Struthio camelus: one gene and its partners. The protein of the gene in region 1 purifies or fractionates together with the protein of each later gene. This does not show direct contact. Links are inferred from orthologs where the notes say so. Each region holds a gene or a part of one and is shown in the gene's direction. Other genes may lie near its edges.

Evidence for each region.
Region 2: the proteins of ASF1A (region 1) and NASP purify together in Homo sapiens (affinity purification with mass spectrometry; 6 studies listed by BioGRID and IntAct, counting the BioPlex papers as one, with this or other methods). This does not show direct contact. The link is inferred for Struthio camelus from reciprocal best matches to the Homo sapiens genes ASF1A and NASP.
Region 3: the proteins of ASF1A (region 1) and CDIN1 purify together in Homo sapiens (affinity purification with mass spectrometry; 3 studies listed by BioGRID and IntAct, counting the BioPlex papers as one, with this or other methods). This does not show direct contact. The link is inferred for Struthio camelus from reciprocal best matches to the Homo sapiens genes ASF1A and CDIN1.
Region 4: the proteins of ASF1A (region 1) and CHAF1A purify together in Homo sapiens (affinity purification with western blotting; 3 studies listed by BioGRID and IntAct, with this or other methods). This does not show direct contact. The link is inferred for Struthio camelus from reciprocal best matches to the Homo sapiens genes ASF1A and CHAF1A.

What each region holds. Positions count from the first base shown.
Region 1 is NC_090944.1:65,344,414-65,351,843, forward strand, and holds the start of ASF1A (histone chaperone ASF1A), read left to right. Parts: upstream 1-3,965; 5' UTR 3,966-4,331; coding exon 4,332-4,440; intron 4,441-7,430. Other genes in the region: DNA helicase MCM9, read right to left, coding at 1,295-1,469. UniProt on the Homo sapiens protein: Histone chaperone that facilitates histone deposition and histone exchange and removal during nucleosome assembly and disassembly.
Region 2 is NC_090949.1:27,444,508-27,452,131, forward strand, and holds the start of NASP (nuclear autoantigenic sperm protein), read left to right. Parts: upstream 1-4,504; 5' UTR 4,505-4,623; coding exon 4,624-4,688; intron 4,689-5,500; coding exon 5,501-5,551; intron 5,552-6,294; coding exon 6,295-6,405; intron 6,406-6,979; coding exon 6,980-7,060; intron 7,061-7,624. Other genes in the region: AKR1A1 (aldo-keto reductase family 1 member A1), read left to right, coding at 1,207-1,272. UniProt on the Homo sapiens protein: Component of the histone chaperone network. Binds and stabilizes histone H3-H4 not bound to chromatin to maintain a soluble reservoir and modulate degradation by chaperone-mediated autophagy.
Region 3 is NC_090946.1:49,777,706-49,785,333, reverse strand, and holds the start of CDIN1 (CDAN1-interacting nuclease 1), read left to right. Parts: upstream 1-4,385; 5' UTR 4,386-7,252; coding exon 7,253-7,353; intron 7,354-7,628. UniProt on the Homo sapiens protein: Plays a role in erythroid cell differentiation.
Region 4 is NC_090967.1:4,458,929-4,466,792, forward strand, and holds the start of CHAF1A (chromatin assembly factor 1 subunit A), read left to right. Parts: upstream 1-4,640; 5' UTR 4,641-4,799; coding exon 4,800-4,806; intron 4,807-5,153; coding exon 5,154-5,204; intron 5,205-5,441; coding exon 5,442-6,262; intron 6,263-7,864. Other genes in the region: SH3GL1 (endophilin-A2), read right to left, coding at 3,084-3,128. UniProt on the Homo sapiens protein: Acts as a component of the histone chaperone complex chromatin assembly factor 1 (CAF-1), which assembles histone octamers onto DNA during replication and repair.

The sequences.
Region 1 (7,430 bases):
AGCCAGTAGCAGGCCTGTCCTCCAAAAGACAACTGCGGAAGTTCCACGGAACTGCCCAGATGGAACTGCTCACACAGAATATGGAAATTATTTACTCTGTGCCCTTATTTTATGCGTTATAAGCCTGAATTACACTGTATTTTGCTTTTATCCTGCATTTTTCTCCTCTAATTTCACATTCTTGAAGCTACAGATTTTTGCACTGACAGTACACAGTCACTTTGCAGAAGTCGTCAGAACGGAAAAAAAAGTCTTAGAGGCTGCACAGAGGGTATGTGACGTGGGTCAACTCAGGCAAAATTCAGGAAGAACATTTTCAACATAGAGCATAATATGGCTAGAATTATTGATACACACAGGGAAAGGAAGACACATTAAATCTGTCTTACAGACAGTAGCAGAATGTTCAATAAAATCCTGCAGGAAAAAGAGGCAGATAAGAGGGAAGGAGGTGCAGGGCCTAGGAAAACAAACAAACAAAAAAACCAAATCCCCCAAATGGCATAAAACCTAGTCAAAATAAAAAAATGATATGATCAGGAAGAGGAGCCAAAAATATGCGATTTGGGCAAGAGCTGGATGGAAGACAACAAGGCAGAATGTGGAAAAGGTAATACTTTTGAGTAGCAGTTTTCATGAATACCAGCGACCAAATGATTTGGGCTTGGACCAGAGCTGTATATACCTGCAGAGAACGAGAAGGTTTGAGCTGAAAAAAAACTGGCGGGGGGTGGGGGGGGGGGAGGGAGGAGGCAAATTTGAACACACAGTGGTTTGAAAAGGAAAGCAAGAAGCTGAAAGCTGGAGTTGATATCCATGCCACACCCAGCAGATAAAACTGAGCGGCCTGGAAATCTCTTGGTCTTCTTTTTGTTACCATTCAGTATTTCTGAATTTGGGGCAAACAAAAGCCCTCACTTCTGAGTTCCAATGCAAAGTTCACAAAGTTCCTCATTTCACTTATGACTATTATGACAATTCTCACTAAAAGACAAGCAAAAACCACAAAGTCATCTTAGGGACGTGCCTTTGCCTGCAGTGGTAGATTGAAAACAAAACAGTGCAGAGGGAATGTATTTATTCTGGTCGCGTGCAACCACTAGTCCATTGCACTGCCCTTTGAAATGCTGGCTCACCTAGTTTAAGAATATCATAAAGAATAAAACTATACAGTGCAACAAACAAAGCAGCTACACTTAATCAGCATGGCAGACCTGTCTCCAACATATTTGATTTCTGAGTACAATAGAAACATCTTACGCTATTTTGTCACATACGGTAACACGCCACTTACCCTGCCTTAGCTACGCTGATGGTCTGTTGCTCCATTGCTTCATGGATACTGGTTCTGTCATGTTCTTTGATACTGTTGAACTCATCAATACAGCAAAGGCCTCCATCTGCAAGCACCAGGGCTCCAGCCTCCAAGTTCCACTCCCCAAAGTCCTTCACAGCAGTCACTGTCAAACCTGAAGAATCAATTACTTCAGTCAGCCTTTTCCATAAAACGCAGGAGCGCACTTCAGTGAAAGAAAGGGACTCCGTACATTGGCTTGTACCACAGACAGAAGGCAAAACAGCAGGTTAGCTTCACCACACAACTCTACCATGTAATTCAGTTTACACCTACCAGTAAGAAATCACACTAGTACTATGCAGGTCAGCTCGGATCTGCTGAACAGGGTCTGTTAAGCTTCCCACGTTTGGTAATAACTTGTTTTATGACATTGATAAATGTACAAAAGTGATTACGGTTAAAAGACTGAATCTGTTAATCAAATTGAAATTTGGGGTAAATGCAAAGATAGCAAAATTACAGAATGGATACACATAGCTCTTCCTCCCCATCAGCTATTAAAACAGACAAAGATTCCAGAACTGAAGAATGAAGCTTGGAAAAATAAATTATTTCAAATATTCTGTCCCCAGGAAGCTGCGACAGATTCTCATTTTGAACTAAGACAATAAGGTCTCTTTTTGAGATTTGGTTCCTTTGAGCATTAAGCTAAAATGAAAAGCCAAGATACTCAAAGATGAAATGGAAAAAAGAGTTCCCAAGAGGTAAATCCCGCTGTAAATCTATGCATGAGACAACACCAGGTGCATCACAGGCCAGAAAAACTTCCTCATACGTCTTCTGGTTACAGAGCTGCACTTTCAGCTTTACATTCCCTCTACTAATTATTTCCTATGATGCAATACTGACACAGTTCTGAATGTGGGTTAAGAGCCTCAGGACAATTCTACTGCTAGGCATTAAACAACATTTAAAAACGGGGTTGTTTTGGGGGCTGTAACTAAACCTGTGGGAATGGCTGTTCATTATCAAATAGGTGCAGCTCCTTTCAAACTTTGTATTCCCTATTTCCCAGCCTTTTCTCTATCTTTAGCCCTTCTTTGTCACCCTGCAGCGTTCAGCTCAAAATATCCTAGTAGCTGACAAGCTGCAACCAGCCTCGCATCTCCTGGAATGCTAGGGCAAAACTAACCAAAAGATCCTCCCACTAAAACTTCAGTGGGTCCAGAGAGGAGAGGCTGCTGCTGCCTTCTCACCACTGTGCAGATGACCACAGTAGCTGTTCGCTTCCAAATAGCCAGTGAAAAGTTATTGGAAGTATATGTTTCCTGTTAAGAGATCACATATTTTAGCTTGTTAAGAAGAACCTCTTTCATTGCGTCCCATCTCTCCAGGTTTCCTGGATTCTGTAAGCCCAGTACTAACCACACAACTTGGGCAGTCAGTTACATAGCAGAATTACAAAAACCAAAACAGTCTCTAGTCTCCAGACAGACACAAGGAGAAAGTTATAAAAAAGTATAGCAAGCAAGATCAGGCAAGCATGCAGACCATGACATTTCTTTGTAATTACAAATCAAAAACATCGTCTCCTTTCACAATTTTGCATGAGCTCGGTGCTTTGCTGAAGGACCCTGTGCCTCAGTGCTATGCTCCGACCCGCTGCAGACCCGCTCTGCTTCTGCCAGCACAGCTCAGCCTTTCCGTGCAGGGAGGAAGATGGCTCCGACGTACCTTCCTGCCCTGTGACCTCCCCTGCATCCAAGGGCTCCCTTCAGGCAGGACAACCTGCCTGTGTATTTACTTCCACAGACTCTCCACTCGGGGTTAGGAGGAAAAATATTCACCTAGCCCCGGGTAGGAGCTCCCCGCTGGCCCACAACCCAGCCCCCCCCCATAGAGGCAGGAGCGGTGCTATGGGGACATATTTATGCTCCCTATCCCCCGTGCAAAGGAGGCCTAAGATGGCCTCCTCTGCGGACTTCCTGCTGCTGCACAAGGGTGTATTTGGCTTCCCGATGCATTATTTCACCCAAGGCCTTCTTCAGCACATTAAGAAATTCAGCACATTCTTGAAAATGCTGCTGTTTAAAGGATAACTCCTGACCCCTCAATAAGCTGTTGGATTGATCTCTCTAGCTATGCGGATTCGCCACAGAATCCGGGCCCACGCAGACCAGCCCGGAAACCTGGCACCCCACTGGAAAAACCCCACTTATTCAGCGCGTGCCCCGGGGGTGCGCGAGGTTTCCGTCTGCGCGGCCTCTTCCTGCACTCGGCTGGCGGCAGGAGGTCGGGGCCCCGCGGGGTGGCGGGCGCACCTGCCCGGGGCGGCCATCCGCCCTGGTGCACTCATCGCGTTAGCACCAAGCCCTAACGGCAGCGACGTTGTGCGTCGCCTCGTCACTCAGGGAAGGAACAAAAACCACCTCTGCGGAAATTGGAAAGGGCGGGGGGGGAGGGGGAAGAAGAAGAAAAAAATTTAAAAAACCCCCCAAACGACAGCACATGGCGAAAGCCCGGGAGCGAGGAGAAGGCGGCGGGGCCGCGGGCCGCCCCGCCCGCTGCTGCCCGCCCCGCCCGCTGCTGCCCGCCCCGCCCCGCGCGGCCCCGCCCCTGCCCGCGCGGCGACGCCGCCGCCGTTGCCCGCCCGTTTCCGCGCGGCGCCGGCCGGGCGGGGGCGCCGCGGCGAGCGGCGAGGCGCGGGCGGCAGCGCAGGGGCCCATCTTGGTGCCGCTCGGCGCCTCGGCTCGGGGAGGAGGGCCCTAGCCCAGCGTGCGGCCAATCCGGGCGGGCGCTGGCGGCGAGCAGGGCAGAATGGGCTGTAGTTTAGTGAAATAGGAAAGCTGCGAACAGTGTGGAGTGTTCCTGGTGTAAATAAAAGGGGGGAAAAAAAAAAGTTTCTTCAAGTCACAGCTCTACGGCCTCGCTCAGACAGTGGCACTGGGGTTTGTGCGTTGCAAAAAACCAACACACTGGACTTTATTGTGCTGCATTAACACGCTCTTCCTATTGTTTGTGTTTTTTTCAAAATATGGCAAAGGTTCAGGTGAACAATGTAGTGGTGTTGGATAATCCTTCTCCTTTCTACAATCCTTTTCAATTCGAAATCACATTTGAGTGCATAGAGGACCTGTCGGAAGGTGAGTAGATTTTTTCCCAATACCGATTTTGTAACCCAGGGCTGTTAGTTTCAGGGGTTTTAAGGTTTAAACTTTGCGAAGGCCTGGTTCGACAATTTAACAGTTTCTCCTTCACTGCATCGGTGTGCCTAGATGAAAGGATGTGCTTGCAGGCAGCTGAAACGCTGGTTTAAAATCGCTCTCGCCGAGCCCGCCGGGGAAAGTTGATCGCTTATTTCGCCCTCGCCGCCGAGCCGGGGGGCCGCGTTGCCCGGCCGAGCTGTGCATTTGGTAACGCAGGCTTTAAGTTGCAAGGAACTTGTTTGAGTGGTGGTAGCCATGTTGCCAGCTTTGTGTGTGTGGGGGGGAGAGTGCGCCTGAGAGGGAGAGGGTTAACCGAACCCAGCTCGCAGCCAGCCCTGCTCCGGAGGGGAGCTGAACTGTTGCTGAGCGAGTAGCGATACGCCGGGACGTTTACCCGATGCGGGCAAAACATTTCGGCGCAAACGTTTCATTGGCCTCATGCTCAATTTTTTAATACTTTAGGAGGAGGAGAAAAAAAAAAAAGGTGGCTTTCGGAGGCCGGGGCGGGCTGGCTCATGCCGCTTGCAGGGGCCGGCGGCGGCGTGCGGGGAGCGGGCGGGATGGCGGTACGTTAACTGCCCTGCCGGTGGGGGAGGGGGCCGGCGCCCAGCCACTATTTTTGGAAGTCACTCGAAAGTTACCGGCTGCCGCCAGGAGGGGAGCAGCCCCGGCGGCGGCTCCGCCGCGCCCGCCTCCCCGCGGGGACCCCCCCCCCTTCTCTCCCCGTCCTCCCCACAGCTCAGCCGGGGGCTGCGGGCCGTGCGCCCCGGGCCCCGGCGGAGGGGCGCGCCGCGCCGCTGCCGGCGGGAGGCGGGCGGGCGGGCTCCCGCCTTCTCCTCAGCCGGGCGGGCCCGAACCGCCCTCGCCGCCGCCGCGCCGCAGCGCCTCCCCGCGGGCCGCCGCCGCGGGGGGAGTCGCCCCGAAACGCCCGGCGGGCGCGGGGCGCCGCGCAGCCCCGGGCCGCGGGCTTCCCTCGGCTCGGGCCGGAGGTGCGCGCTGGGGGTCGCGGCTGCTGCCGGCGGGAAAGCGCCAGGGCGGCCGTTAGCCGCCCTCTCTGAGGGGACAGCCGCGAGCTGCGCCCCGGCGGGGCGACGGTCGCCGCCGCGACCAACGCTGCCGCGCAGCCAGCGGCTCGAGGGAAGGGGCAAGAAAAACTAAGTTCATAAGTGATAAGGTGTGGAAGAGGGTTCCTCTGTTTCTAAATTTGCCTCCTGCAGCCTGCTTCTGTAACAGTTTCTGCGGGCCCGTGCGGGTGACTGGCGGGGTGCCCCCGGCCCCACGCCGAAGCGCGGCGCGGCGCCGCCCTTCGGCGACGCTGCGGCTGTGGCGGGAGCCGGTGCCGTGCCCGAGCCCTCCCTCCTCCAGGCCTTGGCCCGCGGCTCCTGCCGACGTGCCGCCGCTTCTAAAACTCGCCGAAGTATTAGCTTGGGCTGGCTGCCGCCACCTGTGACGGTGTTTGCTCCGTGGCTGTGTGGAGGGGGCTGGCTGTCTCTTTCTCGGCCGGCTGGGCTTATCTGAGAGGCAGCTTAGGAGCCCTGGGCTGGACGGGGGCGGCGGGCAGCGGTGCGCCCCGGAGGGGGCCAGGCGCCAGGCATCATGCCTTTCCTGCCAGTTGTGCACAGCTGTGCATCACGTGCCCCTCACTTTGTGCATTTACGCCACAGTTAATCCAGGACAACCGGGGCGAGAAGAATTATGTAGATGGTCTGCCGCAAAATTCTCCGTTCCCTTCCCCCATCTAAGTGCGAGTTAGACTACAGGATAAATTCAGGAGGAGCACTGTTATCTTTCACACAGAAAAGTAAAATGAAACGTAGCCTTCCCATAGCTTATGAAAAAGTTGCCGTCGTTACCTTAGCTTTCACATGCAAATATATCTATTTATTGTGCTTTTTTTCAGTCAGTCCTGTGCACTGCTGACCTAAAAGTAAATTCATAAAGTCCAGCCCCCTTTCCCTTACCCCAGTCTTTTTTAAGTTATCATTCCACATCAAGAATCCTAAAAAGCATTGGCTCAACCAATCATGTAATTTAACTTTTTTTTAAAGTATGTTTTTCAGTACTAAATATTACTAGTCTAGAAGGAGTTTCATACTGTCTTCCTGGAATAATAGCACATGATGGCAGGATAATCTTAAATAATTTTAGGCTAAAAGTACTCACTTGTTATGTACAGTAACTTGCACTGACCTTGAGAAAACAGGTCACTAATTCACCTGGATTACTAGCCCGCAGTATTGGCCGTACCTAGTAGTAGATGCTTACAAGGTAAATAAAACCTCTGATGCAGTACCTGGCCTGTTGCGTGTACAACGGAATAAAATCACTTCCTAAACCCTGCTAAGCATATTACTTAAAAACTGAAAACTTGTATTAACGTGGAAGCGTGATTAAACAAAGGACTGCATTAATGAAGAAAAACAGCTGACTGCAATCCTAAAGCAGTCCAATTCTGTTGAAGTGCTAGTTTTTGCTTTGCTTCAGTTCCAGTCTTGCATCAAGAAATCATAACATAAGCTTCTGGATTTTGTGGAGAATGCAAATAAAATAAATGGAATAGGCTACAGGTTAGTGCTTTTGCATACGTATTCAGGGCATTACTCATACAGTAAAATACAAATATAAAATATACCATGTCCATTTTAAGGTGCTGTTTTGAAGCAAGAATTTCATTACAAAAATACTGACTTTTTAGTCACATTCTTCCATAATGGTGACCTTCTTGTTTTCTCATGTAAGAAAAGAAAAACAACTTTCAGAATTAGTTGTATATGCATGTATGTATATATGTGTTATTAAATCAGAAGATGAAAGTGAATTTGCTGGGCCAGGAAAAGCTAATGAATGCTAATTTGCTTTTCAAACACCTGTGGCAGAAAGGGTAAGTTAGAAAAACCTGTGAATTGGAAGAAATGCTTGATTTTGTT
Region 2 (7,624 bases), on another chromosome or scaffold:
AGAGTATGAGGAAACCTGGAGATACTATGACTGTTTTGTCCACAGAGTTTTACTGATTGTTGTCATTTGATGGTTTTCTTTTATTTTAACCTGAGTATCAGTAATATTAAACTTTACCGTCTTAGTTGTTCTGCTCTGTAGTGCCCCCAAGTGACTAATGTCATTACTAGGAATTCCAGTTGTTGCTTTCAAATGCAGAATTGATACTGAAAGCTAGAGGGACTCGCTAGTGGATACTTGGTTTAAAAGGCCCGGTAATTTTCCCCCCCTGCCCTCCCTTCCCCTACACTCCCATAACGTTTTGAATGATCTCTAACATTTATATCTCATCAGTGATATCTCTAACATTTATATTCAATCATTAGTCATTTAATAGAAGTTTGAGCTGAATGATGCTAGCCTGTCACACTACACACACAGGGAGGTGTATCTCCTCGCTGATGCCACACTTAATTCCCTCAAACATACAGTTTAGGAGCAAGGTTTTTACCCCAGCTCCCGCTCAGTGGGGTGTTGCAATAGACTGAACGCATCTAGGACTGCAGCCTGTGCACCTGAATGGTTAGACGTGGGGTGTAGGAACTGGGACTTCTGTATGGCTAGGTCTGCTTTTGGGCCAGCCTGAGCTTCTGTTCCATTATTCCTGAACATTAGTTTCAGCTCTCCCATTTCACAGCTGGAGGAACTGATCTGCCTTGGAAATATTCTTAAACTCACAAATGAAAAGTGCTATGAAAGAGTTCAGTGACACTGTTTGTGCTTCCGTGTATGACCTTGAGTAAACTATTTAATTTGTTTCCTCATGTCCATCTGTAAAACTTAACATCCCAGCAAGTCTCTGTCTTGGAAAGATAGGCGAAAGCTCTGATTTTTATAAAGTGTTTTGAAGTGTGCCTGTTACAACACTTATTCAATACCACTGCAAGGCAAAAAGATTAACTATTCTTAATCCAGTTCTTCAAGTCTCAGCAGCTGGAATTCCGGAAGACTTTTGCTTCAGGCTACGGAAATCTTGTTTTGTTTTGTTTTGTTTTCTCTTTCAAGAAGAACTAACAGCACTTGGAGTAGAGGGAACAGCTCTTGCTAAACTGAAAAAGTTGATTGTACACATTTGGTATATGAATAATTTCAAATGCTGCATAGTTTAGATTTGTAACTAAGAGTAAGGTGGTTGTTATGACTTGAGCTTATCTGTTTGCTTCACAGGTGAATGGAAAGCTAGTAGCAAGAGATGCTGGACACCCCCACTACCCCTTCAATGACCCCTATTAACTACTGGAAAATAAGGTGTTAGAATAACATGCTCCTCTGGGTGCCCTTCCACAAAGTAATTGTTGCCACCGTTTATCAAAAAGCCTGTCCAAATAAAACCTTCCTTTCTGAATAGGAGGCCTGAGAAGGTTTACCTATATATACTGCTTTTAATTGACCTCCTTTCTGAAGATATTGTAGTTTCCATGTCAAAGTTTGTGGGATTTGTTACAATGACTGCAAGCTTGCTCCTGGAAGCATCAAATGTTTTGGGGATTAGACAGAGTGGTGGAGTCCAAATCAAGCTCCAAGCGCTTCATAATTGGGCTAGGGCAATAGTTTGGATTTACTGTATGTAAAACGGTTTTGAATTCTTTAGTTATTACCACGAGAGAGGGGGGGGAAAAAAAAAAAAGGAGGGGAGGGGAGAAGGCAGTAGCGTGAAACCATTTTCTGACTAAACAACTGCTCAGTTATTGACTTTGATATCCTTATTAGCGTTTTTATACAGGGAACAAAGTGAAAGTGCTATGGTTGCTCTATGTCTGTAAAGCATTAATTACAGCCCAAATAACCAGCCACGTCCAGTGTTTTTTATTCCCTTTAGAATACTTGTGGGACTTTGATCTGCATTTTCTTTTTCTTTTAACTGTTATGTGAACTTGAGGGAAGTAAATGCATATCCGGGAGCAGGCCTTCAGGGTAATCCTTTCTGTTACTTGTCGCAAAGATAGGTTTTAGCTCTGGCAATGACCGATTGTCCCATCGCAAAAGCATCAATAACTTTGTTAGCAAGTCTTGGGGAAATCCATCCTGCCTTACCCATAATGTTGTCCAGTGTGTCTTTGAACCAAAGATGTCCAGTTTGAGTTCTGGAAGATCACAGAATTAGTTCCTGACTATATAATAAGAGCAAAGACCTAGGCCCCTTCTATTTTAATGTGTCCTTTTCAATTGCTGTCTGGGCTGGGACTTGGGATAGCTGGTCCTGTCCCACATTCTACCACTGAGTCATTTGCCTTTTCTGTGCCTCTGTTTTCCAACTTGCCATGTCTCTGTGTTATTCTGAGGCAGGGACTAATTTACTGAGTGCTGATGTACCATTGAGTACTGCTGGATCTCTAGCAGTAACAACATTTTGTTTTGTTTTAGTCTCCCAGTAATGAATTGTCTAGCCATCTGAGTATAAAAGGGTGTAAGGTGTTAAACAGTGCTCTGATAGTAATACCATTTGTGGCCTTACCAATGTTGTTTAACTTTTTGACTTTTTCTACCTGTAAAATAGGACTGATGCTTATTCGCCATTGTGCAGACATGGTAACAAGGCACAGTTTCTAAAGCTTATCAGAATTAAAACAGAGGGATTCTTTCAGATCCATTGATGCCATTCAGAGAGTGTCGTAGGCAAGAGTTCTGGTTAACTGCTGGATAAAGAAAGCGTAACTAACTGTAAGTGAAATAAAGAACGCTTTTTTTTCCCCCATAGCAGTAACAACCCTCTGTATTCAAGTAGTTCAAAAACTTAAAAAAATATGTACTATCTTAGTTTTGCTACCTTTATTTCATTTGTAGTAGGCCTGTATTAAAACCATATAGCATAATCTCGAGCATAATGCAGGCCAGTGTCTCCTCAGGTATTTTCTGCTATGAGCTGCACAGCAGGCAGATGAATTGGAACAAATCTAATTTTTAAATAAACATTACAAAAAGCGATAAAAGAATTTTTCTGTCCCTTAGCAAAGTGTTTTCTAATGCAGTCTACTGCTGAACTTACTTGAGTACAGAAAACCATTACAACTCGGTGAGGTTTCTTTACTAGACTGGAAGGGAGACAAATCTATGTGTTTTTTTTTTATTATTATTCTAATCAAACATGGATGACTTGGAGTATGGTTCCTGCTGCAAATCAATAAGGAAGCAATTTTACTTTGAAGGCGCTTTGTAGAATGATAACAGCAGTCCTCCTGTCAAGAAAAATGGCTTTTGTCACTTGTATTTCCACTTGTATGTTTGCATGCTTTAAATAAATATTGTATTCAGTGTATGACTTTGAGACTTCCTCCTGCCCCCCCCCCCAAATGTCAGGAGGCCAATTAACTTTTTCTAGTTACTTCTCTAAACAAGGGGATATAAGTAAGTAGGCAGAGAGAAGTCCCAAGAAAAGCTGGTGATTCCCTGCTTATGCCCTCAGCTCTGTTACAGCCTGGAGGAACCCAGCACAGCTGAAGCTGCTGAACTCTTATTTTGAAATGGCACAGGGGGAAATGTGCCTCCAGGTCTCCGCCAATGGGTTTGCTGCTGCTGTGCGAGTTTTCTGGAGGTCTCGGCTGTCACAGCTGCAGCAGCCATGTCTGTGTTGTCTGCTGCCTTGCATGTGCTGTGGAGAAAGCCTCCCCGGGAGCTCGGTGGGAGCCGGTTAACTGCCTGCCTTAGATAGACGGTGCAAGCGCCATGATGTTGCTGCCGTGCCAAGGGTGGCGGGAGAGAGAAAACAGGAGCTCCCTAATAAATGAGAGTTCCCAAGCGGTGGCAGGCCATTCCCTTCCCAAGACACTGGGGCAGGGGGCGGGCGGTGGGTAACCGGCTGCGGGCCGCGCTCCTGCCCGCCCGCCTGTCCCCCTTCCCGCCGCAGAGCGGGGCGGGAGGGGACGCCGGGGCCCGTGCCCCCGCCAGGGCCCGGCTCACCCCGGCGCCCGCAGGGCTGTCGCTGCCGTTGGCGGCAGGTCCCTTCCCCTAAGTTAGGAGGCCCCCGGGACAAGCGGAGCGGTCACCAGCCCGCCTGACCCTGCTCGCTCGCCCTTGCCGGGCTCCAGGCTGCCCGGGCAGCGCTGTCCTCGCAAGATGTCCACCCTGCCGAGGGGGCAGGGGGCGCACCGCCACCGTCCTGCCGGCCCCGGGGCCCGCCCAGATGCTCTTCGAGCCGCTGCGTGTGCGGGGACGGAGCGGCGGCCCGGCGCAATCCCCCCCCCCCCGCCCCGCTTCTTGGCCCCGCACCGACTACATTTCCCAGCGGGCCGCGCGGCCGCGGCGGCCTCCCAGCCGAACTCCATCTCCCAGCGCGCCCCGCGCGCCCCCTTCCCCGTCCGCTCCGGGACGCGCCCCCTCCGCTGCATCTCGCACTACGTTTCCCACCTGGCCGCGCGGCCCCGCCGCGGCTACTTCCTGCTGGGACTACGCTTCCCGCCGTGCCCTGCGCAGCGGCGCCCGGGGTGGCCGGCGGTGGGCGGGCGCGAGGCATCCTGGGAGCTGTAGTCCCCTGGCGGCGTGCGCGCGCCGCCAGGCGGGTCGGGGCGTGTCCTCGGGGGTATATAGGCAGCCGGAGGGGTAGGGGTCTGCACTCTGCCGCCGCCGCCCCTGTCTCCAGCAGCTTCTATGCAATCTCCGGCCGCCGCTGCCGCTCCCCCCTGCGTTGAGCCCGCACCGGCCTCTCGAACTAGGTAGGGTCGGGCGGGCTGGGTCCGGTCACGGTGTGTGCGTGTCGGGAGAGGAGGAGGAGGGGGATAGGGCCGCTTTCGCGCTGCGCGGGTGAGGGTGGGGGGTGGGGAGAAAGGGAAGGAGACGGCGGGTGGGCCTCGCTTCGTTAAGGGGGGGGCGCCAGCCGGGGGTCTCTGATTGGGCTCGCGCGCCTGCCCCCCCCCCCCCCCCCGCGCGGTGGTACGTGCCGCCCCGCTCCTCGAGCGCCAGCTGGGCCCGCTCGGCTCGCGCGGAAGCACCACGTGACCCCTGCGGGGCTGCTGCCATCTTTGTTGGGGGCAGCCGAAGCCGCGGAACCTGCCGGCGGGTTGGAGGGGGGGGGCGGGAGAGGCGAGGGAGGGAGCGGGCGGGGTGGAGGGGGGTGGGTGGGAAGGAAATCCCGCCGCGTCACGTGACGGCGGGCCGCCAGCCTGTGAGGAGCCGCCGCCGGTGTTTGGCGCCAAAGGCGGGGGGCGGGGCCGACGGGGAAAGGCGGGAAAGAGCCCATTGTCTGCACGAAGGCGGGGGGGGGGGCGGGGGCCGCCTCGCGCCGCCTTTGTCCCGGCCCAGGCTGGGGGGAGGGGGCGAGCGCGGCGGGTCCGGGGCCTCTGGAGGAGCCGAGGGGCCCCTCGCCTGCGGGTCCCGGGCGCTGGCGGACGGGTGGCCCCGCTCCCGGCGGCGAGGGCCCTGCCGTTGCCGGCTCACCGCGGCACCCGGGAGCCCCGCGGCGGGCCGGGCCGGGGCTGGGGCCGGGCGAGCGGCCGGTCTGAACGCCTCTCCAACCTTTCCGTTGCAGGATGGAAGCGGAATCGGCTGCTCCTTCCACGTCCGCAGACAAAACGGACAGGTGAGGCGGCAGGGTGAGCTGAGGGGCCGCCAGAAGCGGTCCTTCTTCCGGCCCGCGGCCAGGCCGGCGGCCTCGCCGCCGGCTCCTCCGGGCGCTGGGGACCCGGCTTCTCCCGTAGCCTCTTGCAAACGTCGGGTGACAGAACCCTTTCAAGGGTTATTGAAGGCACGAGTAGAACAGACGAGTTAGTGAATGCTGCGGCTAGCCCGTAGGGATGCTCTTCCGTGGGCGGCTGGGGCTGTCCGGTGTCGGGCAGGACACAGGACTGGGACGGACCCTCCAGGAGCCGCACGAGATGCGCTGAACTGCATCCAGGGCTTAACTAAGCCTGTTGTTCTTCTCAGATGTATCGTGCTGTGCTATGAGAAGTCATAACTTGGCGTCGCTCCCCTTTGTTTAGCGAGTATCAGAACGGGAAGAAGCGCTGGCCGGTGCTGGGCGCTGTAGTGGTGCGCGGCTCCTGAAGCACGTCCCAGGAAGTGTTCTTTGTCGTGCCTGGTTCTGTGATCTGCTTCTTGCAGCAGTTGGTTAGCGTTAACCTGCCTGTGCTTGGACATCACAGCTGAAAGTTGGTCCTGGTGAAACTACTGGTAGTGCCAGTGAGCGGGATGCACGCAACTCGCTGTCATACGTAAAGCTGACTAGGTTTTGGAGGCTGGGTACAATTTTTTTTTTTCCTTCCCCTGATATTTCATTTTCTGATTATGTGGAAACTAATGGAATCTTGTATTCTGTTTTTTCAGTATGGATGTGGATGGAGAATCCAAGAAACTATTGGGTTTAGGACAGAAGCACTTGGTAATGGGAAATATTCCAGCTGCTGTCAATGCATTCCAGGAAGCTGCTAGTTTATTGTAAGTAATAAAATGCTTTGTGTGCCTTAATAGGACTTGGATTTCAGCTTGACCGATACAGTTAAACAAGGAAGATGTAGGGTTTTTTGTTTTTTAAACCTTGGATAGGCTGCTGCTTTTATAGTACATCTGAGGACGGTACAAGCTATTTAAAAGTAGGATAAAGAAACTCGGATATCTGAAAATACCGTAGTTAGTGTGCAGTTTAGGCAGCTTAGTAATAATTGTCAGTGTTCTTGGGAGAAAAAGGAATTTGGTATTTTATTTTGCAGTGTATGGTTCTGATGTAGTCCGTTAATCTGAAAATAACGGGGTCATGTTACTAGCCCATTCTTTGCTAGTATTGGTCAGTCTCTGAGGGTAATGCTTTTTGAGGCTTCTAGATTAATTTATTTTGTTGGATGTTTGAGAACCAGTTCTAGATTAGTGAGAAGGACATTCACTATTCGCTTGAAAGTGGGAGATAGGCTAAGGAACTGATTCTTCCTGTCTAGGTGTTCTTAATAGCTTTCAAGTTCAACATCAAAATCTAAGAAAGACACAGACCCAGAATAATGCTTCATTGCCTTTGTAGGGGTAAAAAATATGGTGAGACAGCGGACGAGTGTGCAGAAGCTTTTTTTTACTATGGAAAATCTCTTCTGGAGTTGGCCAGGTATGCTAACAGTTTCTCATTTATAGTGTCCATCCATGGATGTGTCACATGCTTCCTTTGGGTAACTTATAGCTGAAAGTGACTGGCGTACCTGCTTTCTGGGGGGAAAAGGAATGGCTAGTTTGAGAGGCGATTGAGATTAATTACTGAGAGTGAGAAGTGATATTGGAAACAATAGAATGGTTTCTGGCAGAAAACCAGAACTCAAAAGTAGGAGCAATCTACAATGGCTTGTTTGATGTTATTTAAACACAAGCTTTGTAGCAGAAGTACTCTTTTTAAGGGATCATATGGCGAATATCCATGCCTCTTTGGAGGGAAGTATATCTACAAGGTTAACGAATACCCAAATATTTTCAGAGCACAGCCATCCTGGCATCTGAGCACTGTCAGGTAAAGTGTAATTGTCATGCTTTGAGATGAAAAGTCTGGCTGGGGTAATAGGATTTTGTGCTGGTACTGGAAGGGTTATACTAGAACGATGGGTTGGATGGGCCAATGAGTTGCACGTTTCTACAGTTAGAACGGTATCGATATAAGAGCCAAGGGATAACAAATTTCTGT
Region 3 (7,628 bases), on another chromosome or scaffold:
TGTCTAATTTGTGTGGTTAACCCTACAGTCAACAGGAAGAGGTAGCCCTGCTATCTCTGGCTATGTATCTCTATTTCTTCCCCTGTGCTGGCATTTACATTGATGAGGCTGGGCTCTCTGTCCAGTGAGTTGGATCCACAAGCTGATTCAGCTGAAAAATAATATTTCTATTTTTTTTTTTCTGGTATATTCATTTTTCAGCTGGATCTGCCTGACCATGTATGCACACAATCAGCACTAGTAGTAGTGATACAAGTGCACAGGTGAGAATGTAAAACTGGCTGGAGTGGGCTGGGATGATCTCTTTGGGAACTGCTTATGGCACCTATGTAATTAAATAGGATGTCTGGCACTGGATAATGTGGCTGCCCTTTCAAAAGAGGCCACACGGAAGGAAAATTCCACCAAAAGACTTCTAAGCTTACATGAGAAGTCTGTAAAGAGACAAGGGGAGAATCCATTTTCCTTGGCAGCAGTGAAATTACCTTAACGTTTAACTTTTTTCTTTCTGTAGTTCCTGCTTCATTCACCCAGTACATATTCCAAATGCTTCAACAAATGAGACAGTGGTCCTACAGAAAACAACTCAATTCCTCACACAGCTACAGTGTTTTCCCTGTCCAGTGAATGAAGCAGAAATCCCCTGGGGAAAAGGTAGTATGCAACAGTTAATAATATTTTAATGCATACAGACAAAGAAGACAAATTAACTTTAAATAACTGAATTTGAAACCAGAAAGATATTTTAATATAGGTTTATGTATCTGACTACTGTGAGTTTAAAAAAGCAAATCCAAATTCCAGAAATTTTATCATACGGAATTACCATGGAGTCAAGCTCCAGCACAAGAACACGTAGGGTATGTTAACATCTCAGTCATTGAAATTGATTTTCTAAGTAACTCATCATTTTCAAAATTCTTTTATAGCTTGTTACAGAAAATACATAAACATACAGCTTACAACCTTAAAAACGGTCTGCTTCCAAGTCCATTAAAATTAATGATAGATTTCCAATTGACCATAGATCAAGCATTGGATCAGGCCCCCAGTATATAAAACAATGTTTTCAAAACACAATACAAACACACACATATTTTTTAAAAAATGTCTTCAGCAAGAACACAAATATTTTAAAGAAAGATATATTGAGTATACTTATAGTACAGAAAGCTAGATTTATCTTCCTCAATTACTTCTGTGATTACAATAAATAAATTTGAAGACACAGAAGAAAAGCAATGTCTGCCTCTTTGAGTTGCTATTCTCCTATATACAATCATCCTAACATTGTCATGGTCTTCACAGTGTTGAGATATCAAGTAATCCTACGAATACTTTTAGGGAAAAAACAGAAACTTATTGTGATCTATCATCTTGTGAATTGGCAAAATAGTCAATGCTTAACAGTGATGTATAGATCAACTGTTCTTTTCTTTCCAATACAGACTGAGTGTATCATGGATTGTTCCACAATACATTTATTTTCAGTTAGTACATTAGAACCTATGGACATAAATTAGATGATAAACTGAAGGTTCTCCTTGTTTATGAGGTAACAACTGTCTCCTGTGGAGATGTTTATTAAACCAGTTACAGATACACTTACTACTGAATTAAGCGGAAGCATACTCAAGTTTTTCTTATAATTTAGAAACGTCAAATAAGAAGAGCTGTGTTTCACAATAAAAAACACATGAAAAAGAGACTAAAATATACCTATACAAAAACTTCTGCACCAAACTGAATGAAGTGAGAACACTGTGCGCATAGAAAATTGTAATAGGCGCTCTAATAAGAGTTGCAAATGAGATTCTAGTCTTACTGCAGTTCCCAACTCTAAAACCTACAATCAAAAAATAGTTGATTTAATTTTCAAAGCACATCTGCAGAACAGGCCAATTACGACAACCTAAAAATTCAAAAACATTTGAGCTATACAGTCTATAAAGGAAGAAGATAGAAGGTAAAACTTTAAAAAGCTACTCAGTATCAAAATGGCATGTATTTTAGCAGCACAATTTTAAACTAGGTGATCAACTGTTTGTATGAGACCTACCAATGAAAACAAAGCCTGACACCCTTTTTTTCAGAAAAGTCTTTGAAAAAGTACCTGAAGACTCAAGTTCAACATGTTGATTGTAGATGAACCCTCTGAGAGAAGAAAAGGGTTCAAAGGATCTCAAAATGTCTGATGCCTGCACGGGAAAGTGAATCAAAGATGTTGCAACGGCAGTTGAGAACTTTCCGAGAACTGGTACCTCAAAGTTCACACATACACCAAAAAAAATTAAAACAGTCTTTTCTTTTGAACCTCCAAAGGAAGCTGAAGATAACAAACTAAGTAAGTTTTCTCTTCTTACATGAACACCAATTTCTAGAAGCACAAACTTTTCAGTTTTTTAAATCCATGCAGAATGCTAGAATTACTCATGATTTCAGATTTCCAGGTATATTTTTGGGATATTGATTTTCCTTCTAGCTCCTTCTGCAAGACTTGTGACCTCACTATCTAACAGCTTGTCCTGAATCTGCCACTAAGTCACTGACTTTCCAGTTGAGTAAAGGACACTTTTTTTTTTTTTTTCCAAACCTCAAATCCCACTGACACATCTTCTAGAATGTTGTGTGAAGTCAATGGTACAGGTTTTTCAGTGTTTCAAAACCAACTATTTCAGTTTTGAACAGGTGAACTATAAATCTGTACAAAATAAAGCTCCTTGCTCATTTTTCTAGTCACTTGAGCACTCTAGGAATTTTTGTCCTTCTTTCCACAATCCTCTTTCATACAGTTCCCCTCCCACCAGCCTCTCTCAGTATCTTCAGCAAGATCTGGTCCTATCATGAAAAGTCTCTTCTCAGCCTGAAAAATGCTTCTTCCTCTCTCTTTCCTCCAGATGCTCCCCACCATTCCTGCAGAGAAACTGGAGAAAAGTACTTTCACCAGTATGCAATTGCTCATTTACCCTTCCTGGAACATACATATGGGTGCTTAGAGTCTTTGCATTAATTTTGCTATGGGAAAATTAACACGGAGCAGAGATTCTGTCTATAAAAGAAGTGGAGTGGTAAAGTAAAAAGATAGCTGTAAAGTCATAAAACTCAAATCAGAATTCACACTTTATGCATGAATTTATTCCTTATAACACCGTACTATAATTATCTAGCCTCAAAACACAGTGATTTTAAGCTCTGTGGAAAGTAATGAATGGCATTTTAACTATGAACTTGGCTATAAATGACACTATGCAATCACCTTCTCATAGTAATGGGGGACACCTACTAAGATCACTGGTAAAATATCAAATAACATAATATAAAAAGCAGACCGAAGGTCTGTTACTTTATCCTTTGCCAACTGTGACCAAGACTACCTTTACTAAACGATGGTCATTACTGGAGGTTCTCGGCCAGCTATTTCCCTCTGGTTCTTTTTATTTATATTTTTGACCCTACAGCTTAGGGGCTCTCTTTCTCTTTCTCCCCCTCATTCGTCACTTCCAGTCACTTGTTTTTCCCTTTGTTTCTTTTTCTTTAGCCCACCTTCGTTCCTGGAAGGAAACATAGTTTTTCTTATACATGGACTGGAACCCATCCCCAAGGCAGAAATCCAAAAAACTAGCTGCCAAGGGCAGATGCCAAGGAAGGAGCGTAAGAACAGAGCAAGCACATAATTATACTTCCTCAGAACATTCCCCCAGCATCCAGCCATTTGCATCTCAGAGACTTCCTGGGCTAAAGGTATTTAAAAGCTTTTCATGTATTTTTCTTCCACAAATTTCACTCATTTGCTTATTGAATTTATGCAAACTCCCAACATCCACAACACCTTATACAGCTATCCACAGCTCAGCTTCACACGGTCTAGTGTTTGTTGCGTATGGTAAAAACGGTGATGGCAGCTTAATTGAGCTATTTCTGATAGGAACACGTCAGGGTTTTTTTTGTGTGTCTGTTTGGATTTTTGAGCACGTCATTGGTATAGTTCTGTGGTAATTAATATAGGCACGCTGTGGCTCATACATTTTGTGTACAGAACTTCCAATTTATGTTTTAAAACATTCAAGCCCTTACACTTAACCGTAAATGCTTCTTTTGGATGAAAAGTGATTCATATCTCTGAGGGCTGTTATCTCACGAGGATAATATTCTCTTAGTTCATCTTGGTTGCAGTGAATATTCATGCCAGTTTATTTTCTTGTTTTTTAAAATAATTTTGAAATCTGCAGAACCTTGTTCTAGGACAATAGTATAAGAAACATATCTAATACCTATATCAGACATTGCTCCAGAGATTGGTAACTTCATACTGCAGTTCTAAAACTATTCCACCGCTGTGCAATGCAGAATGAAATGTCAATTTTTTTTTTTTTTTTTTTAAATTACTACTGAACAAGGGAGATGAACAGAGATAAACCTACAAGTTAAAGCTAGAAACCTTATTATTTTAAAAACAAGTTTCACTGGAACTTATCCTGCAACAAAGAAAGGAAGATGTAAGTCATTTCTAAGAGCACGCTTTATGCGCTTCTAAGGAAGCAGTAGTAGTAGTAGTAGTGAAGACGCACAAAATTATTTTAAAAAATTATATTTCAGAAGTCATAATTCTAATCTTTTGCAAGATAAGGGAAAATGATCCTTTCCATGGCTCAAGAAAATTATACCCTCATGGGACTTAAAAGTGGGTATCACATTAAAAAGAACTCACCCATCCCTCCCAACAAACATCCTGTAGTGTTAAGACTACTACTTCATATAGCTAAAGAAAATAAAGCATTTTAATATTAAATAATAATATTTCCTTTAAAAGGAAAATCTTTTGTCAATTTCACATATTATTTTTTGGTCTCCAAGAAAGGAACGGAATCTATAATTTGGCTTAGCTTCACTGTGTTTACTTACACTGTAAGGCGAAAAAAAAAAAACCCACTGAAAACAAACCATCTTCATTTACTGTGACAAACCTACTGAAGACAGTCTTGTACCTTTGACTGAGACTGACCTCAGAACATTTATAGCAAAACTAAAATGCCTTGCCTCCACTTTCATTTTGCTTTAAGGTTAGCTACTTATAATAACTGAGGGATGTTACTCAACACAATGAAGACAGACGCTTTAGCTTTACCCTTCTTTTTATTTTATTTTTAGCTTTCCAATAGCTGATGCACATTAATTAACCCAGGGTAAAAATATAACAAAATAAAACAAAAAAACAAACAAGATAAGCCTATTGAGACAGGAAATAAAGAAAACTTTATAATAACTCAATGTAATTCCTATCCTTTTCAGTTTTACAACTGCTGTTGATACTATCAGAACAGGAGGGAAGACTAGCACAGCAAAATGGTGTTCTTTCAGTAAAATACCAAATAAAGCCCCCAAGCCAACCAAATACACAGCTGTGACCATCTAATCAATTCTCTCAAATAAGTCTAATATATCCAAATGCTGTATATCGCTATTCTTATTAGACTTCATATTAACATTAAAATATCGATATTAAAATGTTTATTGTTAATATTTGTCAGATACGTACCACCAATATAGAACAATCTAGAATGCAACTTATATAAAACAAAGCAATATTTTAAAGCTTCAAACATCGATATTTAAGGCACCTTTCCAGAAGCACCTGTTCTCAGGAAGGCTCCAGGTTCCAAACTAAACCCATTAAAAACCCTGGAAGACGAAGTGACAGAGGGTTCATCAGGCACTGTCAAGTAATAAGAAGCCAGGGTGCCTGACCTGGCTAATATACACATACTGTTCGCATGCTTTTCCTTTAAGCTGCAGTTCTCATACTCTCCAAAGAAATTTTGTAAAGTTTCTGGCTAAGATGCAGAAAAACACCTAAAATGTGATCCTCAAAGCCTTCAAAAGAGACAGCAAATAAACAAAACCTAAAACCTACATAAATCAATTCCTCAAGATTTCAAGCAAATTTCATTACTTCTGTGTCTGAAACTGCAAGGCTGGGACTCCAAACCATGCGGAATTAGCAATATTATTGTCTGTACACAGTTCATGCACATGATTAGTTAAACTGAAATTATATTTGTCAGTCAGATGCATGATTGATTCTCTTTGTAATCTCTCATCTATATACAGTTCTTTATTAAAAGGAGCACCCATCTCCCAAAATTATTTAAAACACCCAGCACAGGAATCAAGGCTTCAACCATGTGCACTGATGTTTCATAGTATCACCATGTCATTCAAAATACGCTCGAGGCTTAACTAAACTTCAAGTCAATCGAAGCGTTAAGTTTGGACGGTTTTCTTCTAAAACTTAGCAGAAGGCATTTGCGCGTGAGCATAAGGTTACAGGTCACTACAATTAAGGCGAGCGAGGAGCCACGGTCGCAATCCCACTACCTCAGCAGGTCTTTACCATAAGCGGGGGGTGGGGTGGGGGGGGGAACCAGTTATTTCAAAGTGGCTGCCGGTTAAAGGCCTTGAAAATTATACTTCAAAACGATTCAGGAGAGGTTACACCCCACCCTCGTGCTGCAACTGCTGCACAAGCCAGGCCACCCCGGGGTACTGCCGGCGCAGACCTGGCTCTGTTTCGGTCTCTACCCCCGGGGCCTACTGGAGCGCGGCGCTCGGCGCCCCCGGCCCCACGACTATCGGAGCCTCCGCGGCCCCACGCGAGCTCCCTCTGCGCCGGCTGACTTCACGGCAAAGGAGCCCACGGGCGCTTCCTCAGCCGTGGCTGGGCCAGGCCACGAGGCCAGCATCTTTCTCCTTCTCCTCCCCCCGCCGCCCCAGGGCGAAGGCCTGGGGAAGTTCCCGCTGTAGGGAAGGGAGAGGCAAGGAGACCCTTTAAGGCTTCCGAGCCTGGCGATACCTCCAGAAAAGCGCCATTTCCGCGGGGCCCATGGAAGCGCCGCGCGCCTCTCCCCCGCCCCTGCAGCGGCTGCGCAGGCCCGAGCGGCGCGGGATGGCGGCTCGCCCCGCCCCGCCGCGTTTCGCCGGCTCGGCCCGGCCCGGCCGTCCCAGCGCTGGGCGGAGCGGCGGGAAGCGGCGGCCTCCACCGCCGCCGCCTATGGCTGTTTGAGCGTCAGGCTGTTAGCAAAGGGTGCCCCGGGCTTGTTGCGCGCCCGCCCTCTCCCCCGCGAGTCACGGGCTTCCTTCCTCCCGCCTCTCCGCGCTGCGCGCGGCCGTGGCACTGGGGGCCCGAGTGGGGCAGCCCGCTGCCTGCCCCCCTCCCGCCGCCGCGCCGCGCCGTGCCGGTCTGGCGGTGCGAGGCATGAAGCTGACCAAAGCCCAGTACGATGAAATAGCCCAGTTCCTGGGGCAGGTGCAGCCCACCAGACAGAGCCTGCGGCAGCTGAAGGAGAAATTCCCTAGGTAAGTGCTCGCTGCCCGGCGGGCCGCTGCCCGGCGCGGCCCCCTGCGCGGGCCCCTGGCGGCCGCCGCGCCGGCTCTGGCCGCCGCCTGCAGTGCAGAGCCTCACACGGTATAAAATCACTTGGACATGCACACGTTAGTCGACGGCAACGTACAGCTCTCCGAGGCGGTTGCTAGAGGCACGGTACGTTTCACCCTGTGCGACCTGAGAGGTTAGGCGCAAAATAAAAGCATGCTTTGTTCCCTGCCACCCACCCAAATAAAAGCTCTCGGGT
Region 4 (7,864 bases), on another chromosome or scaffold:
AAGTAAATGGCGCAAGTGAAGCCATTTCCCTACCGCAGGATTTTGCACCTTCCTGGGTATCTGAGCGACCACCGTTGGATCAAGGCTGGACGGAGCCTGGGACCGGCCCGGTCTCACATCCCTGGCGCTGACGGAGGCTGCAGCGCAACTTCCCACCTTGCTCCTGGCTCACAGCGCTGGAACTCAAAGATGCTGTTGTTTCTCCCCCTACCTCTTGGGAGAATGTTTTCGATGGGATTTTTCCCCCTCCTTAAAAAAGGACATTTCACTGTGAACTAGCAAAACCTGTTCTGGACGCACACACAGAACTGTTCACCCTCTGCGGCATTTGCAAGCAGGATTTTTTTTTGCAGGATACTATCTCGGCTCTCTCCTGCGTGTGGGCGCCTGGCAGCCTCACCCAGGGAACATGTAGACCCACAAGAATCAGATAAGTCAGGCCTTCCTAAAGGCAGGAGCTCAGGACCAAGCCCTCTTCACCGCCTGCAGCACCACCCTGCTTTGTCCGGGTCTGGAGGAGGCCGAACTGGCAGCCTCTTCTCGCTGGGAGGCAAGGGGGAAAATCCCACACCCAGAGCTGCAGCAACAGAGAGGTTCTGAGAGGGTCCTCACAGGCCTTGGTCCTGGCTACGTTTTCCTTCAATCAACAACAGACATGGAATTAACTGCAACATTTTAGGAAAAATCTTCCACATGTTCGGGTTTGGCAGCACCTAATACCTTTAAGAGAGCCAAAAAATAACTAATCCTCCTTCTCCTTCAGCCAAGGAGCCCAAGAGTGGGACTGGTGGAAGGAGGGGGAAGAAGAGTGAAAAGGGAAAGAGGAGGAGGAGAATGCAGGAAAATGGTAGAACTGGGACCAATCGCTCCCAGATCGCAGAAAAAGAATCTCTAAAGCTCAGATACTTCTGCGTCCCAGCCCCCAGGATGCTCCAAAGGAGCCAGCAGTGTCTGTCCTCTGATAGCAGACTGCCCTTCTCTACTTCCCCGCAAAGCATGCAATTCACTTCTGCAATGGTACCGTGAATATTGGCAGCAAGCCTCGCGTTAAACGCAATTTCTTCAGATTAAATCAGTTTCCAAAACCCTGCAGCAGCACGAGCTGCAAAAGAACTCAAGGTGCAATTGCACCTACACCTTATCTCCCACTTTTTAGTAATGCCCTTGAACATAGTGTTCAAATAAAGCATGTGCGTACACACACAATATACAAACAGGCCACTAAGTCAGAATATTTGGGCTACATCTCACCAAAGAGCTGCATGGGGTTTAATTTTTCCACGAGCAACTAGAACGGTTCCTTTCAAAAAGTTACATATGGAACAGAAAAACACCTGCAAAGGCCACCTGTGATTTACCTCAGTTTAAAATAATTCTCCTGGTGAAAAGTTTCAGCAGATGTTTTAGGATGACGCACTCGGACTTCAGAATCACGTTACTTTTGACTCACAGATGAGCTTTCACCTCTAATTGCCCTGCTACGACAACACAGCAGATCTGCACAAGTAAAATCCTCCAACAATGAATTTTCAGTGCAATCTTTCCCTTGGAAGTTGTAAAAAACTAGATGCAGGGGATTGCTTTTCTGTCGCAAGAAAAGGGATGGGGGAACGACTTAAGGAATTTATTATTTTGCTTTGCTGCTTAAGCAAAATGCTTTTACATGAATTACAGCCAAGAAAGGAGGCAACACACGTAGCAAACATATTTGGACCAAGCTTGGAAGTGTTGAAACATTACGCCTGGAAAACACACAGAGCCAATTGGTAGATCAGTGCAAAACTCATCTGTCTTAAATTTAAAACAGGGGCACAAAGTGCTTGTGAACTGCATTAGAGGCCAATCCCCCCGCGTTCAGCTGGAGAACTTCAGCCCACCGCCAAGCTGTGAGGAGCCATACCTAAGATGTACTTTTTACGAAGACGTAAACACGCTTTTTAGTTCAGGAGCGTCACTTTGAACTATCAATTAAGGAAGATTTTAAATGGCTTCGTTTGGCTAATAAATTACTAAAAAATTGCACCTCTGACAGTTTTTCCAGAATCGCCAGGCCTCCATTTCCTGTGCAGCGCATACACAGGCTGAGAAGCTGGACACCCTCACCCTGCAAACCGCAAAATCCTTTCCCAGTCCCAATGTCAGCTACTATCAAGGAAGCGGGAACTTCCTGAGGTTAGGCTGCAGCTGCAATCTGCCGCTGCTCTCTGCCAGGCTGGGCTTAACGAGGGCCGGTGATCCCTAGCCAAGACCTCACCTTCCGGGCCTGAATTCTGCTCCGCTGCAGAATTTCAGCCTTTCCGTCTTTATTTTTTTGCTCCTGGAATCCATACACCGACTCGACGTTTAGTCCAAGAGCATCTCACCGCCTGCAGGCTCCTTGCCGCGCTGGTCCGTCGCCGCCCTCGCGCCCTGATGCCCACGGGACGGCTGCGGCTCGCTGGCGGCGAGGTTTGGGGCGCGGAACGAGCTCCCTCCGTCCCGGGGCCGCCGTCCCTTTCTGGCGACGAGGCGCAGCGCGTCCGCGCCGTCGACCCGGAGAGAGGACTTCAAGCGTCGCTAGAAAGCGGCGGTGGCGGCCGACCCGGCGTCATCCCGAGCCCGGGACCCGCCGGTGCGACAGGAACAACCGCGTCTCCTGCCAGCTCGGCCCAGGGCTCGGGCAACCTCGGAGGGCGACGAGCGGCCCAAGCCGGGAGGCTCCGCCATCTCGCTGCGCCGGCGGCCCTCGGCCTCCTCGGGACGCGGGAGGGGCCCCGCCGGTGGCACCGAGCTGGCAGTGACAGAACCGGCACCGGACCCCGGTAGCGGGGAGGGTGTGGGGGGGGGGGAACGGGCACCGGTCCGGGATGGGAGTAACGGCGCGTTGTCAGAGGGAGCGGTACCGCCACCGGACGGCGATACCGGGGGGGGGGGCACCGGGGAATAACGGCTGGCACCAAGCTGGAGGACACGAAACCGGCAAGGAGGGCACCGGGGGGGGGTGACGGCGGGAAACGGGGCAGCACCGAAGCACGGCAGCGGGGGGGGGGGGCAGCGCGCCGGGAGGGCTGAAGGCGGCGCGGGGGCAGCGGCAGGGCGCTCACCTGGCTCGCCTTGTAGAACTGCTTCTTCAGCCCCGCCACCGACATGCTGCCGCCTCGGCCGGCCGCGCACGGACACAGCGGGCGGCGGACGCCTGGCGCGCAGCTTCCGCCGCCGCCGCCGCCGCCGCCGCGGGACCCGACCCGCCACCACTGCGCCCCCTGCCGGCCTGGCGGGGCGCCGCCACCGCCGCCGCCACCGAGAGGCGCGCGGCTAGAGCGCCGCCCTGCTGCTCGGCGGGCAGCCGCGGCGCCCCCTGCCGGCGCGGGCGGCGCAGGCCGCGAGGGAGGCGCCCCCGGGAGGAGGGGAAGGAGGTTGTGTCGCGATAGTGCCGCCCCGTCGGCTACGGTTTCCGGCCCGGCGCAGCGACGCCTTCGCCGCGGCGACGCTTCCGCGCTCTGACCGCCGCCTCAGCGGCTCCGCTCTTACCTGGCGGCGGGAGCGTCGTGGCAGCTCCGCGGTCCAGCGTAACTCTCCGCAGGAGACGGGCACAAGCCGCCTGCGCGGGAGGCAGCGCTTTCTCAGCCGCTGGTGCAAAACAGCTCTCTCCGGACCCGTAACCGGTTCCGCTCCCGCCCTGAGTGCCCTGCTACGGACCACGGGGCGCGTTTATAAACCTAAAGTGAAAAAAATACCTTCAGCGACGGAAGCGTGAAGGGTCAACTCCTACAACTGCCAGAGCGAGGCACCGCAGGGCGCTCGCTCCGTCCCTAAGGAGGGGGGACAACGCCAGCCCGCGAGCGCCATGGGGCCCGCAGCCCTCCCGACCAGGAGGGAGCTGCTCCCGGGGAGGCGCGGCGGGCAGGCTGGGCGGGGGCCGCGTCCCCAGCAGGCCCGTGGCGGGGCGCTGCGTCCCACGCCGCCTGGGGCAGGGCAGCACGGGGGGTCAGGGGGCGGCGGGCCGAGGCCTGGGAGCGAGGGCCCGTGTGGGGACAGTGTGGGGACAAGCTGTGCCCCCCTTCCCGCCCGCCCCCCCCCCCAAGGGCTGCCATAGCGCTGGGAGAGGCAAAGGGGCGACTACAACTCCCAGGAGGCTCTCCGCCTCGCAGCCGCCGCCGAACTACAACTCCCAGAGGCCCTTGCGGCAGCGTCTTCGCGCCCTCCTCCCACACCCCCGCGCGGAGGGGGCTCGCGCCGGGAAGGCGCTCGCTCATTGGCTGCCGCCGCCGCCATTTCGCGGTTTGGCTCGCGCCCCCTTGACGGCGCGGCGCGGCGGCCGGGTCTTTCCCGCTGCCCGGCGCTGCGGAATGGCCGCTCCGACCTCTCCGGAGCTTTCCCCCGGGACCGCATCGCCGCTGTCTCGGCTCCCGCTCGCTGAGCAACGAGGCCTCGAGGCCAGGCGTGAAGAGCCAGCTGGAGCCTCCCTCAGCCAGCCAATCAGCTCTGCGTAGCGGGCCAGACTGACAGCAGCCTGCGCCAATCAGCTGCGGCTATCCCGCTGGCCAATCGGAAGGCAGCGAAGGCGGGCAAGCGCCGGGCCTCCCTCCGCCGGGCGAGGCGGCGTTCTCGCGAGACTTGGGCGGCGGGCGCGGGGGCGGAGCGGGCGGAAGGGCGCGTCACGTGGGGCGCGCTCCGCCTATCGGCGCGGTGAGGCGCGGGGTCGCCCCGGCTCCCGCCAAATACGAGCGGGTCCCGCTCGGGCGGGGCGAGAGGGGACCGGGCCGGGCTGTTGCCGCTGCCGCCGGCGGAGGGAGCGGCGGGCGCCGCCGCCCCCGCCCATGGCAGGTAGGGGGGGCTGCGGGGCCCCCGGGCGGCGCCCTCGGCTCCGCCGGCCCGCTGCGGTTCCCGGCGGGTGCGCTGAGGCCTCCTGCGGTAACAAAGGGAGGCGCCGGGCCTGGTCCCGCCGCCGCTGCGGCCCGGTGGCCGCTGTCCCCCGCTCGCTGCCGCCGCTGCTACTCGGGGGGTGGCCAGGCCCTCTCAGGGCGCCGGGTCGCGGCTGGGCTTTGTGTGGCCGAGAGGTCCCGACTGCCCTGCGTGTTGGGGAGGGGCGTCGGGGCCGCTGTGGCCCGGCTGCCCCTGGGGAGCAGGTGACTAAGCAGAAACCTGTCACTGGTGTTTTTTTTTCCTTGCAGCCATGGAGTGTCGAGGCAAAGCGGTTGTTCCCCCACGGAAGCTTGTGCAAGGTAAGGCTCTGGAGCAGGTGTCTAGCACCCAGTGCGGTCTTAGTGCTTTAAAACGTGTCAGGCCTGAACTTGTACAATAGATTGTGTTTGCGATAATAAACTCTTCCCTTCTAGCTCATCAGTTTCTCTTCTTGTGTTTAAGAACTAGGTGAATATTGCAGTGTTTGTGTCCCTTCCCCCCCCTCCCCCCATGGGTTTATATGATGTGACTAAAATAGCGAAATGTTATTGTTTCAGCCCGGCTGCCTTTCAAGCGCTTGAATCCTGTACCAAAGGAAAAATATGATGCGGATTCAGAAGTCAAAAAAGTAAAGAGCTCACAAAGCAGTTTTGGACAAAACAAGGATTCCTCTCTCGATACGTCATGTGCGTCCCTGGACAATGTGGAGAATGACTGCCAGTTGGATGCAGATGTGAATTTTACTCCAAAACTTGTTAACGGAAAGGGTCCGTTAGATCACTTTATACAGAAAAACACAAAACATAACACAAATGACACTGTAATCATTATTGACCTGACAAAGGACTCTAGCCATAGACTGAGTGATGATGTGGACCATGCTAATTTAGATTCAGAAGCATCTTCATCTGTAGGTATAACTAATGGCATGCTAGAAAAAGATATAAACCAGTCGAGTTGCATGAATTCTAGTCAGAATAGCCCAATGGATGATTCAATGGAGACTGCACCGTGTGAAGCTGCGGCAAATAAAGATGAAGTTTTGGTAGGTGGAAGCCAGTCTTGTTCTGGGTTACCAGAGTGTAACAACTTGGAGAAAACAAAGATAAATCAGAGTGAACTGAAGGATGTCATATTTGAGGGGAAGATGCCTGTAGTGCTCCTGGAGGATATTATGACTGCCAAGTCTCCTCAAGTTGCTTCTCTGGATGGAAGCATCACATCAGAAAATGAGACTCTGGAATCATCCCGCGAAGGAGACTCTCTACTTACTAATTCCTCCTTAAGTTCTCACTCTGTGAGCTCACCTGAGGCACAGCCTGCTGCAGAAACAAAGAGAAACTGTAGTCCTTTAGCTGTCTCCACGCCTATTAGGAAGGTTGGTCTCTCTTCTTGGGTTGTTTTCTAAATATTATTTCATTAGAGTAGGGAGTATAGTAGGTAATAAGGCTTTCTGAGCTCACAGTGGAAAGGATGACTAGGATATTCACAAAGCTCATGGGAAGAGTCTGGAGAGCGTTGCCAACTTATTCATATAGTAACTGAACTATTACCCTTTTGAATCCTTTAAACTGTTTACCTAAAATATTTAAATCTTGCTCTTTTGAGCTGCTGGTAAGTTCGCGTAGTGTCAATGTAACTTTAAGTTCTATTATAGATTCATGCTTATAAATTGATGATGAAGTGCATGCCTCGTGACTTATCATTTTGGTAGTTAGCGCGTGGACAGTGTTCAAAAGCAGTTTTGTCTGTAAGTGATGTTTTACAACCTCCATTCTGTACTTCACGAGGCCGTTCCAGTTACTATGACAGAACGCTAATTGGAAGCGTAGCCTAGTCACTTCTAGCACAAGTCGGTGCGGATACTTCTCAAGTTCCGTGTTTCTGAAACCGGGGGGTAGAAAACAATGCTTTAAGCGAAGCTGCAGTGCCTTGAGGACCTGTAAGTTGGCAGTTGAGGACAGAGGACAAGTCAAATGAGTCTTTATCTGCTTCTCAGAATTAAGGGTACAAAACTTGTGCTGTCAGCCATCTTGATAGGTGTGCACCATTTGACATGGGCAGTTGCTTTAGGGGAAAAGTCAGGGTGTGTTCAGCGCTCCTGGGGTCATGTGATGCTTTTGGCCAGCGAAGGTTGGAGCACAAGGATGAACACCTCTAAAGCCATAGCTCTGCATGAGCTGGTGGTTTGGAATCTGAATTAGTTTCAATTTAGTGTCTCGGCTCTATGGAGAAAGTGATGAAAGCGTTGTGACTTTTGGCCCTGTACTGCAAGGGGAACTCTTAAATTAAAGAGGGCATTATCTGCGCAGATGGCTGAAAGGATCACATGACTTGAACGGTTGAGAAGTGAATAGGCTTTTCCAGAATATATCCGTTGAGATGTAAAGTGGGAGTTTCTCTTGCAGCAGGCACAATAACCTCATCCTTAAAGGCGTGGGGTAGAGCAGTCCTGGTGAATGGGCTTGGACACTCTAGGCAAGCCTGGCCTAGACTTAGTCCGGACTATTTGGCCTGTGTATTTGTTTTGCCCTAACTACATTATTAGAGGGGAAAATCAGGAAAGTGGATATTGCCCTGTGAGAGTCTGAAAACGACATATGTGGCTTGAGTAAATGAGGGTGAAGAGATGGAGCAAATTAGTAGAATAGGAAAGTATACGTGCTGAGCAGGGGTGGAACTGCTCCTGGGTTTGCGCTCGCCAGTTATGTCTTCTGGCGAGAATTGCTTTCTGCTGTTTTGAGCCTTTTGAGAAAGCTTTTCATCAGCTATCCCACTGGGATGTAATGAGAGGCTGTACCGCTTGTGAGGGAAAAATCTCATTGGCCTGAAGGAGATAGCAATAAGCTAGCTGGGGCTTGGATTTCATGATGTGACAGGTCCTCCGCTTCTTTTGCTGTGTGAATTGTCTCAAATCAACCAGTTTTAGACTGTTAAAACTTGCAGTCTTCCTCCTCTAAAATACATACTTAAACTCAAG